Linked DNA regions of Coturnix japonica. The protein of the gene in region 2 interacts with the protein of the main gene of each other region in a biochemical or structural test. Links are inferred from orthologs where the notes say so. Each region holds a gene or a part of one and is shown on either strand. Other genes may lie near its edges. The genes, in order: RAB5C and RBSN.

Region 1 (6,699 bases), on a different chromosome or scaffold from region 2:
ATAACTCAACTGAGGCATGATTCACGTGGCTTTTAATGTGCAGATAGTTGGTCTGAAATGGTGACAGAGCTTACCAGTCTGCTGATAGACCGTCCTGGTAAATGAATACAAGGTTAAGCAAGCAAAAGCTGCTGCTTTGCAGTCTTGAGTTGGAGAAGGAACTTTGCATTCTCTGGAGCTTTTGCTCTGAAGTGTGGCTCATAGGACACTGTTCATTTGGGTGCTGTTTGCTGGGTTCGCTCTGAGCAAGAAGGTGTTTCCTTGGGGCTCAGGATTTGTTGTGGGGGAAACTGCCCATCAGGGTCTTTGTTTGCTGCTTGTCTTTGTCAAGAAACTTGGGCTGCGAGAGAGTTGAAGGGAAAATGGTGATACAGAGCAGATGCAATCGGTTGTAGCATTTGTCATTGACAGGAAGTGGGAGTCGTGTTGAATACAGGAAATCTGCTGAAATCTGTGAAACTGCGCTTGGAACATTATCTGCTCGCAGCTGAGAACAGGAATACGGGTCATTGTGGTTAATGGGAGGCACTGAGCCTTCGCTCAGGGTTATCAGTGGATGTAGAACAGCTCGTCTCGCTCTTTGTCCAGTGCTTCTGCACAACACTGGAGATTTGGTGCTGCTGCTGCTGTGTGTAGGTGCTGCCCCTGCTTTCTGATAAGTCAGTCTAGACTTCTGATAATTACCTGCAGTGCTGGTGGGGCGGCTGTCAGCTCCTCTGTGCTTCTGCAGGTCTGAGGTGGCCTTGAGGACTGCTCAGAGATGCGGTGTTTAACAGCTTTGTACAAGGGCCTTTACAGTTCTGAACATAACAACTTGCTCTTGTGATCTGGAGGAGTGAGTCAGTGCTGCTGTCCATAATGGATTACATAGGGCACACAAACACCTCTATTCTGTTGGCAGCCTGAAGCTGCTACGTGGTGAACTCGAGAGAGGAGGAAGGAGTTAAGCTCAATTTCAGTTACTTCCAATGAACTGAACAGTGTTTTAATGGACAAGGCTCTAATAACCTGACTGGCACACTGGCTGTTTTCTGCTTGCCTTGCCCTAGTGAGGTGTGTAGCATGGTGTGCAGTGGAAGTGCTGGAGGGCCCGGTGGGGAGGGAGCTCTTATCAGACCCCTGCTCTGAGGAGGCTCACGCAACTTCAGATGCTGTGGGAGCTGCTGACTGATAGGAACTGGCTGATGTGCTGCAGTGCTTGCAGCCAGTAACCTTCCTCAGTGGGAAGGAGCAGCAGCTGTCTGTGCTGATAGAGGCTGTGGGTCAAAACCACCTCTGGAACTGGTAGGGCTGCTCCGGGAGCGTGTCACTAACTCTGGCCTCCTCTTCCAGTTGCAACCTGCCTCCAGGTGGATCCAGTGCAGAACCTGCAGCATCCTTAACTCTTGGCACTCCTGCACTTAGGCCACAATGGCAGGTCGAGGTGGAGCTGCTCGACCGAATGGACCAGCTGCTGGAAACAAAATCTGTCAGTTCAAACTCGTCCTGCTGGGAGAGTCGGCAGTGGGGAAATCCAGCCTTGTTCTGCGCTTTGTGAAGGGGCAGTTCCATGAGTACCAGGAGAGCACGATTGGAGGTGAGTGCCAACTCCAGATGCTGATGGTTAAAAGATGCCGGCCTTGCTAATGCAGCCCAGGAGTATCAGGAGCATTAATGGCTATTTCAGTCTGGTCTGGGCTTTTTGCTATAAATAGTCAAGCAGCTAATGCTTTAACTCTTGGTCTGCAGTTTGTTAGTGTAGAGATCAGTGCACCAGCGAACACTGCTATGGCAACCACGAGTGCTCTGCCTCTCAGGCGTCTTCCAGTGTTTGAATTCCTATTTCTAATTAGATCTGAGGCATTCAGCTTAGTTTATAGCTTCAATGTTTTCTGACCAGGACCTGGGATATCAGGCTTGTTTGTAGCTTGACAAAATAAACTACTTCCACATCTCTTTCAGGCCTAGCTGTTCTTTAGCTTAAAATAGTCAGTGTGGAGTCACCAATCAAAGGTCAGTCAGCACCCAGCCTTCTGAGTGGTAATGTGAGGAGATGTGCACTGAGAGGCTTCATCTGCCCCTGTAGTGACCCATACAGGAAGCAGGGCAGCTTACAGACAGGCAGGGTTTAATGCTTTGCCACAGGGGGCTGTGAGTGATCTGCTGTTCTACCTCAGTCCATGTTCAAGCCTGGCTGTATTAGAACTGAAATGAAAGTATGGCGTTATTCTTGCTGGAACAAGAAAATAACTGGTTTCTAGGCCAAGGAGTGCAGTGTAACTGGGCTGACTGCAGTGCTTTGGCACTGAGGCACTCTGTGAAGCTAATCCTCAGGGTGCTGCAGCTGTATTGTGTGGTCTGGGTGGTGACCCCTGGGGGTGGGTAGCAGTGTAATGTCAGGCTGCTTGCTGGGTGCTCGGAGCCACCTTTCTGTTGGCAGCCTGCTGCCTGGTGGCTCTCTGGTTCCCTCACATAAGTAGCTTGTAACACAGCAGAGCTGTGACTTGCACAGCAGGTGGCAGTGTGCTGGCCTGGCTGGGGCTTCTGCCAGCTCTTGTGCAAAAGCAGAACTGCTCTGAGCTGCTGGCTCTTGCTGGAGGAGCTCTCCAGCTGGAGACAAGGCAAACATCTCTTCTCTTTCAGCTGCCTTCCTAACGCAGACAGTTTGTCTGGATGACACAACGGTGAAGTTTGAAATATGGGACACGGCGGGACAGGAGCGGTATCACAGCCTGGCACCCATGTACTACCGAGGTGCTCAGGCAGCCATTGTTGTCTACGACATCACTAACACAGTGAGTACTGCACCAGGGCCTGAAGTGTCTGCTGGGAGGGAGGCATCTGCACTTATATCTGATGCTTCTCTGTTCCATGGGAGAGTTCTGGGCTTAGGGCTGCTGCAGATGCCTGCCTGCAGGTACTGAGTTTCTTAAACTCGCCACTTCCTTGTTTCTGATCAAGGCTGTCTAAGCTGATAAAGAATCCTGCTACAAAGTGCTGTAGAAGCAGAATGCTTCTTACAGGAAAGACTTGTTCTAATCATATCTTCATTGTGCATTATTAAGAGGCTGCCTTTCCTGACTGCCTCCTTTTTACTTCCAGGACACATTTGTACGAGCCAAGAACTGGGTGAAAGAGTTGCAGAGGCAGGCCAGCCCCAATATTGTAATTGCACTAGCAGGAAACAAGGCAGACCTTGCTACCAAGAGAGCTGTGGATTTCCAGGTAAGTGGGAATGTGGTTCAGCTGCTACCTGAGCAGCCGGGAAAGCAGCTCTCACATTGAGGTGTGTTAAACTCCCAGCCAACCAAAGTACAAGGTGTTAAGTTGCTTGAGACATAGTGTCCACATGTAGCTCACAAACAATCTGTGCTGCTGTATCCTGGCTCTGATGCTGGCACCTCAGCCATGTGCTCCTGTCAGTACTGCACGTCTATCAGCTGTCCTGGCCAGGCAGGGCTTGGGCTGGGGTGGAGGTGCCCAGTTTGGGCTGGGCAGAGGCTGTCTTCAGTGTTTAATAATGCCAGCAAGTGGAGTATGCGGAGCCTGCATGTGCCTCCTCCTGGCAGGATGCCTTTATCACTCTAACGTTATTGTTTCTAGGATGCACAAGCTTATGCAGATGACAACAGCTTGTTGTTCATGGAGACGTCGGCCAAGACAGCAATGAATGTGAATGAAATCTTCATGGCAATAGGTAAGTGTGGTGTGAAAGGGCTGCCTGGAGGAGCTCTGAGCACTGGCAGTACAGCCCACTGAAAACCACAGGGTCTGTGTCAGCTGGGTTCTGGAGGCTCTTACTGGAGTTTATGTGTGACCAGGTTGTTAGACCTGTGTGTGTGGTCACCCAGGTAGTGCAAACCTTGTTCCCTCTCTCCCTTTATCTGGAGTGAATGAGGGTGGAGCAGAATTGGTGACAGCTAAAAGCAGGTTTAATGTACTTGTGCTGCCAGCAGTGTCCTGAGAGCTGGAGGCTGGAGTAGAGCTGAGCTCAGCGTGTGGTCTGCAGTGGGGAGGAGGCTGGCCTCTATAAGAGCGACCTGCTGATACCTTGCTTCTTTCCTAGCCAAGAAACTGCCAAAAAATGAACCCCAGAATGCTCCAGGTGGTCCGGGCAGGAATCGGGTGGTCGACCTTCAGGAGAGCAGTCAGCCCAGCAGGAGCCAGTGCTGCAGCAATTGAGCAGCTGATCTCGCCCGATGGAGCCCTCGAAGGACGTGACTGGAATCCACGCTAACAATCGCACTTACCGTAGAGCAGCTGCTGCCGGTGGCTGCTGTGATTTCTCCATCCCTTTCTGATCATAGGCTGGAGGGAGTTCTTCCACCTGCACCTTTCTGTACAAATACTAATTCAATTCTAAGTCTTAAGTCACTTTTTTAATATATGAACTTCTGCTCTTCCCTCTTCCTGGTGGTGGTGGATGCACGACCTGGTGTCTGCCCAGCCAGCTCATCCCTCCCCACGGGTGAGGGCCAGCAGCACCCAGGTCCCACAGTACTGTAGTTCACTATTGGAAACAAAGGGATATTGAGACTAGACAGCCTTGTTTAAAGTTACCCACGTGTAAAAGCTGAGGCGAATACCAGTACGATATGCCTAGAACAACCACTAAACTGTAGCATTATAGTGACAAACTCCGGCTCTTCAGCCACTTATTGACCAAATCAATTATGAGTATTTTGGGGTGGGGCAGAGGGAAGAAAAACTGATTTCTTCTGTATTTTGTATTGTATGTTTCTTCATGTAACCAATCAGTATCTTGTCAATATAGAACATACAACTAGCTGCCTGTTGTCTTCATTTGTGTTGGACTCTCGCATGCCAACTTCTTTTCTCTCTGGTTCTGTCATACTGCACTCATCCTGTTGCAACTTTTGCAAAAAAAAGAAAAAGAGAATCTTGTATAGAAAATTGTCTTTTTTTGATGGTTGTGATGCCACGAATGTTAACCCCACCCTGGTGTGAATACACGTGGTTTACTGATGTACAGAAGTGGGGCAGGGGAAACCTCGGGTGACCTGTCAGTGAAAACTGTGTATTGCAAAAGCCTGTAATCCCACACGGTGTGAAGGGAGGTATTAAAATGGCTTCTCTTGCCAGACTCTAACTGATGTTGGCTGCTGCCTAGTGCCTAATGCAGTGTCTTATGCATACTGGTATTTAAGAGGAACTGTCAAGCTACTCTTCATCACAAACTTCAGTTTTGTGTGATTAAAGGAAAATTTTTATAAACCTACCACGATCAACAATGTTCGTGTTTCTTAACAAGCAGGAGGGGAGCGGAGTGGAGCAGAACATAACAGGCGTGGTGAGGCCCAGCTCTGCAAGGTGAGGGAGGGATTCCCGCATGGAGCTGCAGAGCCCCTGTCTGTTATGAGGAGCTGGAGCTGGTTTGCTGGCTCATCACAGTGTACAGCAGCATGATTGAGGTAAACAGTGAGAACTGCTCATCACTGCACTTCTGGGCTAACTAGCTATAGCAGGAGCTGAGGAGAGGTGGGAGGAGCAGTATGCATAGGAATGGGGAGTTTACACGACAGCTGGGTGAACTTAGAGATAGTGTGCTCAAATATTGGTCAGCAAATGCCTCTAGTATCTAAAGATGCTAATGTCATGTTTCTGTGTGGCTGTTCATGTGCTGGAGGAGCTCAGAACCCTCATGAGATGTCAGAGATCCCATCGCTTCCAGGATGGTTTGCTGGTGCTTCTGGATTCCCCAGCAGCGAGAGGGACCCGTTGGACAACTGTTACCGGCTCCCAACTGAGCAGCGGCTGGAACAGAGCGAGGTGCTGTTGCCATCTGCTGGTTTCTTGTACAGGAGCTCCTGGCTGGCAGGACTTCATTTCTGGCCCATGCCTCGGGGTCTCCATCTCCCTGATGGAGGCTGTGATGCTCTCAGGGTGTCCTGCTGCTGCCCCAGCCCGTGCTGTTCAGCTGTGACTCCAGTTTGGGGCTGTGCTCTGCAGAGCTGTTGTGCTGCTGGCACTGCTGTGAGGAAGAGCTGCCTGAGCTCAGAGCAGCTTTGACACAAACAGGTGTGCCTGCATGCCTGCAGACCTGCCCAGACCTGGCTGCAAGTGCTGGAGGTGGGGATAGTGCAGGAGCCTGGTTCCAGGTTGCCTGCTGCTGTCATCCCAAAAGGATCTGCAGCCCTTTTCTAAGCTGCATAGGGAGAAAAGTAGCTGTGACGGGACTGCCTCCACCTCCCACATCTTCCAGCAGTTATCTTGCTCTTCAGAGACACTGGGCTGAGCAGGAGGGCTATGGAGATGGTGCAGGCAGCAGCATGGGCAGGAAATGCTACAGTGCAAGAGAACAGGGATGCTCCCCCTGCTCAGAGCAGCACAGTAGCTCTGCTGTCAGCCCCGTAGCACCAAGAGCAGAGAGGGTTTTACCCTCTCCATACACCCCCAAGAGCTGAGAACAAGGCTCAGCCACCCCATCAATCACCCCTCACCCCATCAATCACCCCTCCCCCCCAAAAAAAGAAGCACAACCAAATTCTATGCAAAAGGACTTTTTATTGGATACAAAAACGAGAACATTCCAGTGTAGTGAAAAAGATGATGGAGCGTGTCTGGGCTACAGCCCGAGACTCACTGCCGTCTCTGCTGGTCCCAATGCAGACCGTCGTTCCGTCCCATCACACCTGGGCTTTGCTGGCAGCTCCATCCTTGGCTGCCCCGAGCTGAGGAGCTGCGGGGCTCACCTGGATG
Region 2 (7,421 bases):
GATCAGGTGGAAGAGGAGGCAATACACACAGTATAAGAGATTAGTTCAATTTATTCCTTTGCTGGTAAACTACAGAGGCATATAGTCTAAGGTAAGCTCTTACCAACCTCGTATTTTGGCTGACTCGGTGTTGGCTCTGTCAAAGGATGTCAGCTAGTAGAAGATAAACAACACATTCAAAAAACAAAAACACGACCCCACAACTTTTCCTCCTTACTGAAGAAGGAAGACAAACAACCCACAACACCCTCCCATGCCCAACATGTTAAAAAAAAAAAAAAAAGCATGCCATTTTAAAAAGATAAATAGGAAGATGTTTGAATCTGGCAATAAGATTCAGACAAGTAGCACTAAACAATTACTGCCAAAATTACAAAAGTCAGAATATTTTGACATAGTTCTTGTATCATTCAATATTATTGTGTCTGACTGAAAATGTAAGTTGGCTATCAGTGGGGGATTTTACAGAACAAATAGGAGTAATCCTAGGAAGTAAAATATGAAGAAAGCACACAGAGCACGTGATGTAGCATCTTGTGCTTGAAAATACTGTACAGAAACAGAAACCATACCCACAGTGCAGAGCACGACCAAACACACTACACAAGGATAAAAAAGGGAGGACAGTAACATGTGAAGGCTACCATTTACCAATTGCATTACTACATAAGTGGGCATCCTTTGCAATAAAATAGTATTGGATATTTAAGAAACATTTAAATGGCTGGAATACTAAGTAGTAGCAAAATTACCTTTTCTAACCTGATTAACAATTTATTGACTTCAACTACATAGTGATCAATCCTGGCTGCTCGGTATTTCTTGAAACTGGAAAGATGGCTTCTCATAGCACCTTAGGGGGAGAGGAGAACTCAGAGTCACCTGGGTGTTCTACATGAGTTTAAACGCCTTTCAAAAGGCAGCTCTCCTTTTTTTTCATCAATTATTTTTCAAGTCCAAATAAAATTTTAAAGACACATTAGAATTCCAAGTCTTCGTGGTACTGGCCTGAATGAAGCGTGCAGGCTATAGCCTCCAAGCTAGCAATAAGCAGTGCTTTATTTCTACTAAAGGAAAGCAAAGAAGACATTAAAGAAAACATTTGCAACAGATTTTTTTTCATATTTATCTCTCAGTTACATTCCATGTTACCAGCCTGTATGGTAGTCAAGACCTGCTCCTGTTATTTCCTTACTACATCTAGAACAAACGCAAGATGCAAGTCCCATGATTATCTGAGGTTTATGCAATAACAGCTTCTTCCAGATTGCCATCATCCTTCTCACATCCAGGGGTCTGAACCAAGTCCTTGATCACAGCGCAGATTTACAGAAACCTCATAAACAAGTATACGAAAGAACACAGCATCTACTTAAATATATAATTCATTCTCAATAAATCTGGGTAATAGATTTTCATCTTTTTCATTAGCCAGATATTTAAAAAAAAAAAAAAAAAAATCAGAGTTACAGTCATAATACAAAAATTATTCATTTTCTGATTAGTAGAACATAAAAGCAGATGTTGCTCTTTGACAGTAACTGTACAAAGTCACTTCCTCATTCTAATGAAATACACAGAAAACCCTCTGTAGCCAAATTCATAGGAATGGGAAAGCCCCTCTAGGTCAGTAGATTCAACTTCTGCAGTGACAATCTCTTCATTACAGAAACCCCCAGCAAATCATGTAAAAATCTGTAAGATTCAGCTTCTCCACTCTGGTTTAAAAAAAAAAAAAAGACAGTTATCTCCAAAGCTTGGATTCTGCCATCCCAAAGGACTCAATTCCTCATCTGTCAGCAGCACAGGAAAACATACAGGACCCACCAGAGACAGTGCTGCCTCCTCCCCCTGAAAATAACCATAGGCAACTTCCAGTAACAGTATTTGTAAGTACAGGCTTAGTCAACATATTTGTTAACATCTGCAACGCCTGAACCTGCAGCCAGAGTTTGGCTGCTTATTTTTTGAAGTGAAACTACTTAATGACAGATTACCTATACCTGAAATCCAAGAAATAGCTGGAAGAGAGTTCAAACTAAGGGACAACTGTTAGTTTAAATGTCTGGCAAAACATCTACTTAAGAGTAACCAAAAAGCCATAGATTTAATATGGCTGTAGCAATATTAAATAGTAGTAGTGGATTATCATCTGTTTTGTAAAAAGCCATATGACAGTAGTTGCAGAACCCTTAGTAAAGCTAGATGCACAGAGCTAAATATGTACCAAAGAGAACTCAATAGCTCAGACACAATGAAATGACAACTATCCAGCTTTTGAGGCTAGTTTACATCCTGGCTCTATAGATCTTCCCTCCCCACCCCTGATCTTCACTTTCTCACTTTTGTCCTATACAATGCGTGCAGGCTGCAGAGAAACAGTATGGAAGTCACAACTCAATGCTACAATAAGTCACATACAGTACAGACAATTCCACAGTTTCAGCAATTAAACTTAAACCCAAATAAAATTAAAAGTTATCTCTACCATGCATCACTTTCAAGCTCACCTACCTACTTCCTGGGGCTCCCACATGTACGGATCTATGCCACCATAGCTGAATGACTCGTATCGTTCCTGAGATCCAGAATCAGTTCTGTCATCTTCTCGTTTCAGTAATTTCTTCTTTGCTCTCTTGGCCTTCTGGACAAGACCTGAAAAAAGATAAACCCACATATAAAAGAGCAGTTTGCCTCTCAGTATTTACCATGTTAAACGAGTACAGTATGCTCCTTATCATTCAGAACAAATCTTTTGCCTTCACAACAAGTCAATATGCTCTGTTTAGAACCAACATATTGTACAGAGTCTCCAAAAGCAGGAAATGCTTTTTTGTTATCTGTTATAGTGCTACAGTCCTAATGATAAACAGGTAGTTTTAGACACTCCATTCAGGGACATCACTATGAAAGAGTGAACTGTATTAAACTGTGGGACCCTATTTCATAGAACACTGGGACATTATATATGCACTCTCTTAATTCCTAATGATTTTCTTTGGATTCAAGGATGTTCAATTCTTCATACTTTTGCAAAGAAGTACAAGCTAAGAGCGTCATTGCACCTGTGCACCTCAGTAACTTCAAAAGAATTTAAAGATCACCACATTATCTTATTCAAAAGCTAGTGAGAGGAGGGCAGTTTCCTGGAAAACTTTAAACTCCAGCATTTTTATGGTAACAGAAGTTAAGGATGCCACTTCCCCCCCACCCCCCAATATATTCTAGAATTAATTCCCTTATACACCTGCTGAAAATTGTGAGTTGCAAGTGTAATGCTATAATGAGATGGGAAGAACAGCAACAGTAGCACAGGAGCAAAGACCCGGGCTGGTACATGGCAGGAAGCTGAGGTTCCCTCATTCTGTAAGGCCTCTGACTAACGTCTGGGAACTTATATGCATTACAGAATGAACCGGAGCACTCTCGTGTTAAAAACACAGCCAGAAAACAAACAAAAGCCAGTAACGACCCGCAGCACAAAGCACCGCACCCAAACAGCACAGAGGCCTACAGAGGCCTACACAACGCCCACTTACAGGCGACGCATCCCTCGCGTCAGGAAATAAGCAACACACTTTGCCTGGGCCTACGTCCTGCACACAGAAACGGGGCCCCACGCCTCACTTGTAGCGTATTTCTGTCAGCGTTCCAGTACTGACAGACACCCAGAGCTCTGGCAGCTTCTCTTATATGGGATTTAACACAACAGATGGGAGAACACCGAGAAACCGCCGCGGCCCTTACTTCGGAGCTGGCCTCTGACGTCTCTGTCTTCGCCCGAGTGCTCCTCCTCGTAGTGCGCCCGCAGCTGCTGGAACGCCTGCAGGTCCTTCAGGCACAGCGGGCATAGGAATCCCTCCCGCATCTCCGCCGCGTCCCCGAACGGCGGCGCGCAGCCGGCTGCCATGGCGCTGCGGGCTCAGAGCTGCGGCATCGCCCGCGCCATCCTGAAAGACATCGGGACGGCCTCTCCTCCAGGCGGCCCGCCTCTGCGCCTGCCAAGGCCAAGGAGCCCACTCGAGGGCCGTACCCACACCCTCGCTGTACAGGAAAGAGGCGAGAAGCGGCGGAGGGCGGGTGAGACGACCCCCGGACTCAGGAGGAGCCCGGGAACCGGACCAGGCCCAGCGCCGCGCGGAGGATGGGGCGGGGCTTCACCTCACGCTGAGGGGCGCCCGGCCCGGCTTCGCCGCTATCCCCGAGACGCGGCCCCGCGCTCCCCGTCCCGTCAGCTCGGCTCGGTCCCAGGCAGGAGCTGCGCGGCCGCGTCTCTGCCGTGTCTGTGCCGTTCGCACCCGCTCGGTGAATCCCGAGAGCCCCGAAGCAGCAGAGCCAGGCGGTGGGCGGGGCCAGAGCCGAGGTACCGAAGGGCGGGAGGGACGGGCACGAGACGGGCTCCGCGGGGAGGCGGGACTCGGGGCTCGGGGCCCGGCCCAGTGGAGCTCCGGCTGCGGCGGGCGGTGCTATGGACGCAGCCCGTGAGGCGGGCGCCCGCGGAGCTGATTTCCGGCGGGATGGGCGAGCGGGATGAGCGGCGCTGAAATGTATTCCGAGGCCGCGAGGACGAAGAGGGTTCGGCAGTCGAAGAAGTTGGAAAAGTTCTTTAAGATCACTGGGTCTGACCCGCACCCACCGCGCCCACCGACCGCATCCCTCAGGGCCGCATCTCCGCGCTTCTGGAGCGCCCGCGCGGCGGTGCCCTCATCTCTCCCTGGGCAGCCCATGCCGGCACCTGAGCGCTCTTCGGACGGCGTATCTCTGCTGATACCAGCCCGACTCTCCTCTGGTGCCATTGCAGGCTGTTACACGGTCACTTTCAGCATCTTGTCGCATCGCCATTGAATCTGACCCATTTTATATTTGTAATTCCACCATCCTGCCAAACCGTAATGGGAAATCAACGTCAAAATTGAACTGATTTCACCGTAGGAGTAGTTGAATACTATAAACAGCCACACTCTTTGAATTTTTATATATGCAGTTTCCTGTTGGGAGCCGTCATGCTCTCAAAACAGCTGTAGAAATAATGTAGAAGCATGATCACAACCAGGTTCCCATCGAGCATGCAAACTTTTTTTTTTTTTTTTTTATGCGGACTTAATTTATCTTTATTTTAAAATCTCAGATCTTATCTTGCTGTGGAAGCTGCACTGGTCAGGTACTCCACTGGTCAGGTACTCCTCTAGAAGTGTATTCTTTCTTTCTTTCTAGAAGGCCTGATATATTGATTATTTATGTTTGTTTGTTTGTTTGTTTTTCATGACGGGGCTTTATTAACCCCATGGGCTGAAAAGTTTTAAAATATTCTTAAATGTTTTCAGTTGCACTTTAAAACTTGAAAAATCCTCACCCTACAGGCACTAGAAATAAAATCATCAATGTATGTAAAGAAGGAAGGTACTTAAAAGAGAGAAATAAGGAGAACTGATTGGCTGGCTTTTCATACTGCTGTTATGTAAGAAATACATTTCTGGACTCTCCCAGACTTGTCTGGAAGGATTTTAAGCGCAGATGGAACAGACCTGCCAGGATGTGCTCAATAGTCTGGATCTGAAAAATCCTTTTCCCGTAAGCATCTCGCAAAGCTCCTAGGTTTTCTCATTCTCATTGCATAGTGTGTGGAATTAAGTTAGTACAATGCTTGAGGACAATGAACCTCGAGCAACTCAGGGCGCTGTTTTTCCTTGTGTTCCTCTCTTTGGAGAAAGGGAGCAGGAACCAACCTGAAGCTTCGTGCATCCCAGGGCTCACTTGCTGTGGCATGATCTCTCTGGGTTTTATGCAGCTGAACTGTTTCCTAGAGAAATGTCTTACTAGAGAAACTGGCAGCCTTTGGCTTGGTAAAGAGCTGGGTGGAGGGCTGGGCCCAAAGTTATGGAGTTAAATGGAGTTAAATCCAGCTGGTGACCAGTCATGAGTGGTGCTCCCCCAGGGACTGGTACTGGGGCCTGTCCTGTTTATATATTTATTGATGACCTGGACAGTGGGATTGAGTGGAACCTCAGTAAGTTTGAAGATGAAACCAAGTTGGGAGGAAGTGTTGATCTGCCTGGGGGTAGGGAGGCTCTTCAGAGGGACTGGGACAGGCTGGGTAGCTGGGCTGAGGCCAATAGGATGAAGTTCAGCAACACCAACTGCCAGGTCCTTCACCTTGGCCACAACAACCCCATGCAGCGCTACAGGTTTGGGGCAGAGTGGCTGGAAACAGTGTGGAAGAAATGGACCTGGGGGTGTTGGCTGACACTCGGCTAAACATGAGCCAGTAGTGCGCTCAGGTGGCCAAGAAGGCCAATGACATCCCAGCTTGTAGAAGAAATAGTGTTGTCAGCAGGATCAGGGAGGTGATCATCCCCCTGTGCTCAGCTCTTGTGAGGCTGCACCTTAAGTACTGTGTTCCATTTTGTGCCCTTCGCTACTATAAGAGCAGCGAGGCCCTGGAGTGTGTCTGGAGAGGGACAATGAAACTGTGAGGGTTGAGGAGCAGCTGAGGAAGCTGGGATTTTTCAGTATGGAGAGGAGGAGGCACGGGGGAGACCTTGCAGCTCTCTACAACACCCTGAGAGGAGGTGGTGGCGAGGTGTTGGTTGTCCTCTTCTCCCATGTAAATAAGGTTAGGACTTGGGGGAATGGCTTCAAGTTGCACCAGGGAACATTCAGGTTGGATATTAGGAAAAAATTCCTTCTCCAAATTGGTGTTTAGGTGCTAAAATGGGCTACCCAGGATGTTGGTTGATTCACTGTCCCTGGGAGTTGTTCAGGGAAGGCAGAGATTTGGCAATGAGGGAGATGATCAGTGGGCATGGTTGGACTACATGATCTTGAAGGTCTTTTCCATCCTTTGGTGGATGCTATGATTCTATGATTATAGCACTGAGACGAATTCATGCCTTGTGCAAATTCAGGTAGAACCAACTACCTGTCTCTTTGTTGTTACCTGCTCCTTTTGTTTGGGCCTCTGCTGGGGCCAGTGATCTGTAACACACTGAGCCAGTGAAGGAATCCTCCATATCTACAGGTGCCTCTGGGAAGCTGGCAGGAGCTGAAGAGATAGAGAAGGGCAGTAAGATCTGAGCTTGGATGGGAGGAAGTATGTAGGGAAGAGTGATCGTGGAAATAAGTGAAAAAGGCAAAATTAGGTGCAGGACTTGTGATGGTTTGGCTGTAGGCATTTCGGTTTTCTTGTTCCTGTTGTGCATGTGTGTGTTCTGTTCGTCTAATCAGAAGTATGGCTTGCTAATATGGGAGTAAGAAAGGAGCAGGAAAAGAGATGTGCAGAATGAAAGAAACATCTTTTCACTAGATGGCACAACAAGCATGTCTGAGAACAACCGAGGGCTTGCTGGGGCTCTTTGCAGTGGATTTCACAGCACACAGCGCTGCTAAATTTCTTTGTTTTTTCCTTTTTTCCTTTCCTCCTT

Evidence for each region.
Region 1: the proteins of RBSN (region 2) and RAB5C form a complex in vitro, tested with the Homo sapiens proteins (2 studies listed by BioGRID and IntAct, with this or other methods). The link is inferred for Coturnix japonica from reciprocal best matches to the Homo sapiens genes RBSN and RAB5C.

The regions. Positions count from the first base shown.
Region 1 is NC_029542.1:4,451,139-4,457,837, reverse strand, and holds the end of RAB5C (ras-related protein Rab-5C), read left to right. Parts: intron 1-1,332; coding exon of another isoform or gene 1,333-1,382; 5' UTR 1,383-1,410; coding exon 1,411-1,576; intron 1,577-2,622; coding exon 2,623-2,774; intron 2,775-3,081; coding exon 3,082-3,204; intron 3,205-3,582; coding exon 3,583-3,676; intron 3,677-4,045; coding exon 4,046-4,161; 3' UTR 4,162-5,218; downstream 5,219-6,699. Other genes in the region: HSPB9 (heat shock protein beta-9), read right to left, coding at 6,627-6,699. UniProt on the Homo sapiens protein: The small GTPases Rab are key regulators of intracellular membrane trafficking, from the formation of transport vesicles to their fusion with membranes.
Region 2 is NC_029527.1:17,038,082-17,045,502, reverse strand, and holds the start of RBSN (rabenosyn-5), read right to left. Parts: upstream 4,370-7,421; 5' UTR 4,162-4,369; exon of another isoform or gene 4,045-4,161; 5' UTR 3,911-4,044; coding exon 3,748-3,910; intron 2,656-3,747; coding exon 2,515-2,655; intron 854-2,514; coding exon 753-853; intron 154-752; coding exon 108-153; intron 1-107. UniProt on the Homo sapiens protein: Rab4/Rab5 effector protein acting in early endocytic membrane fusion and membrane trafficking of recycling endosomes. Required for endosome fusion either homotypically or with clathrin coated vesicles.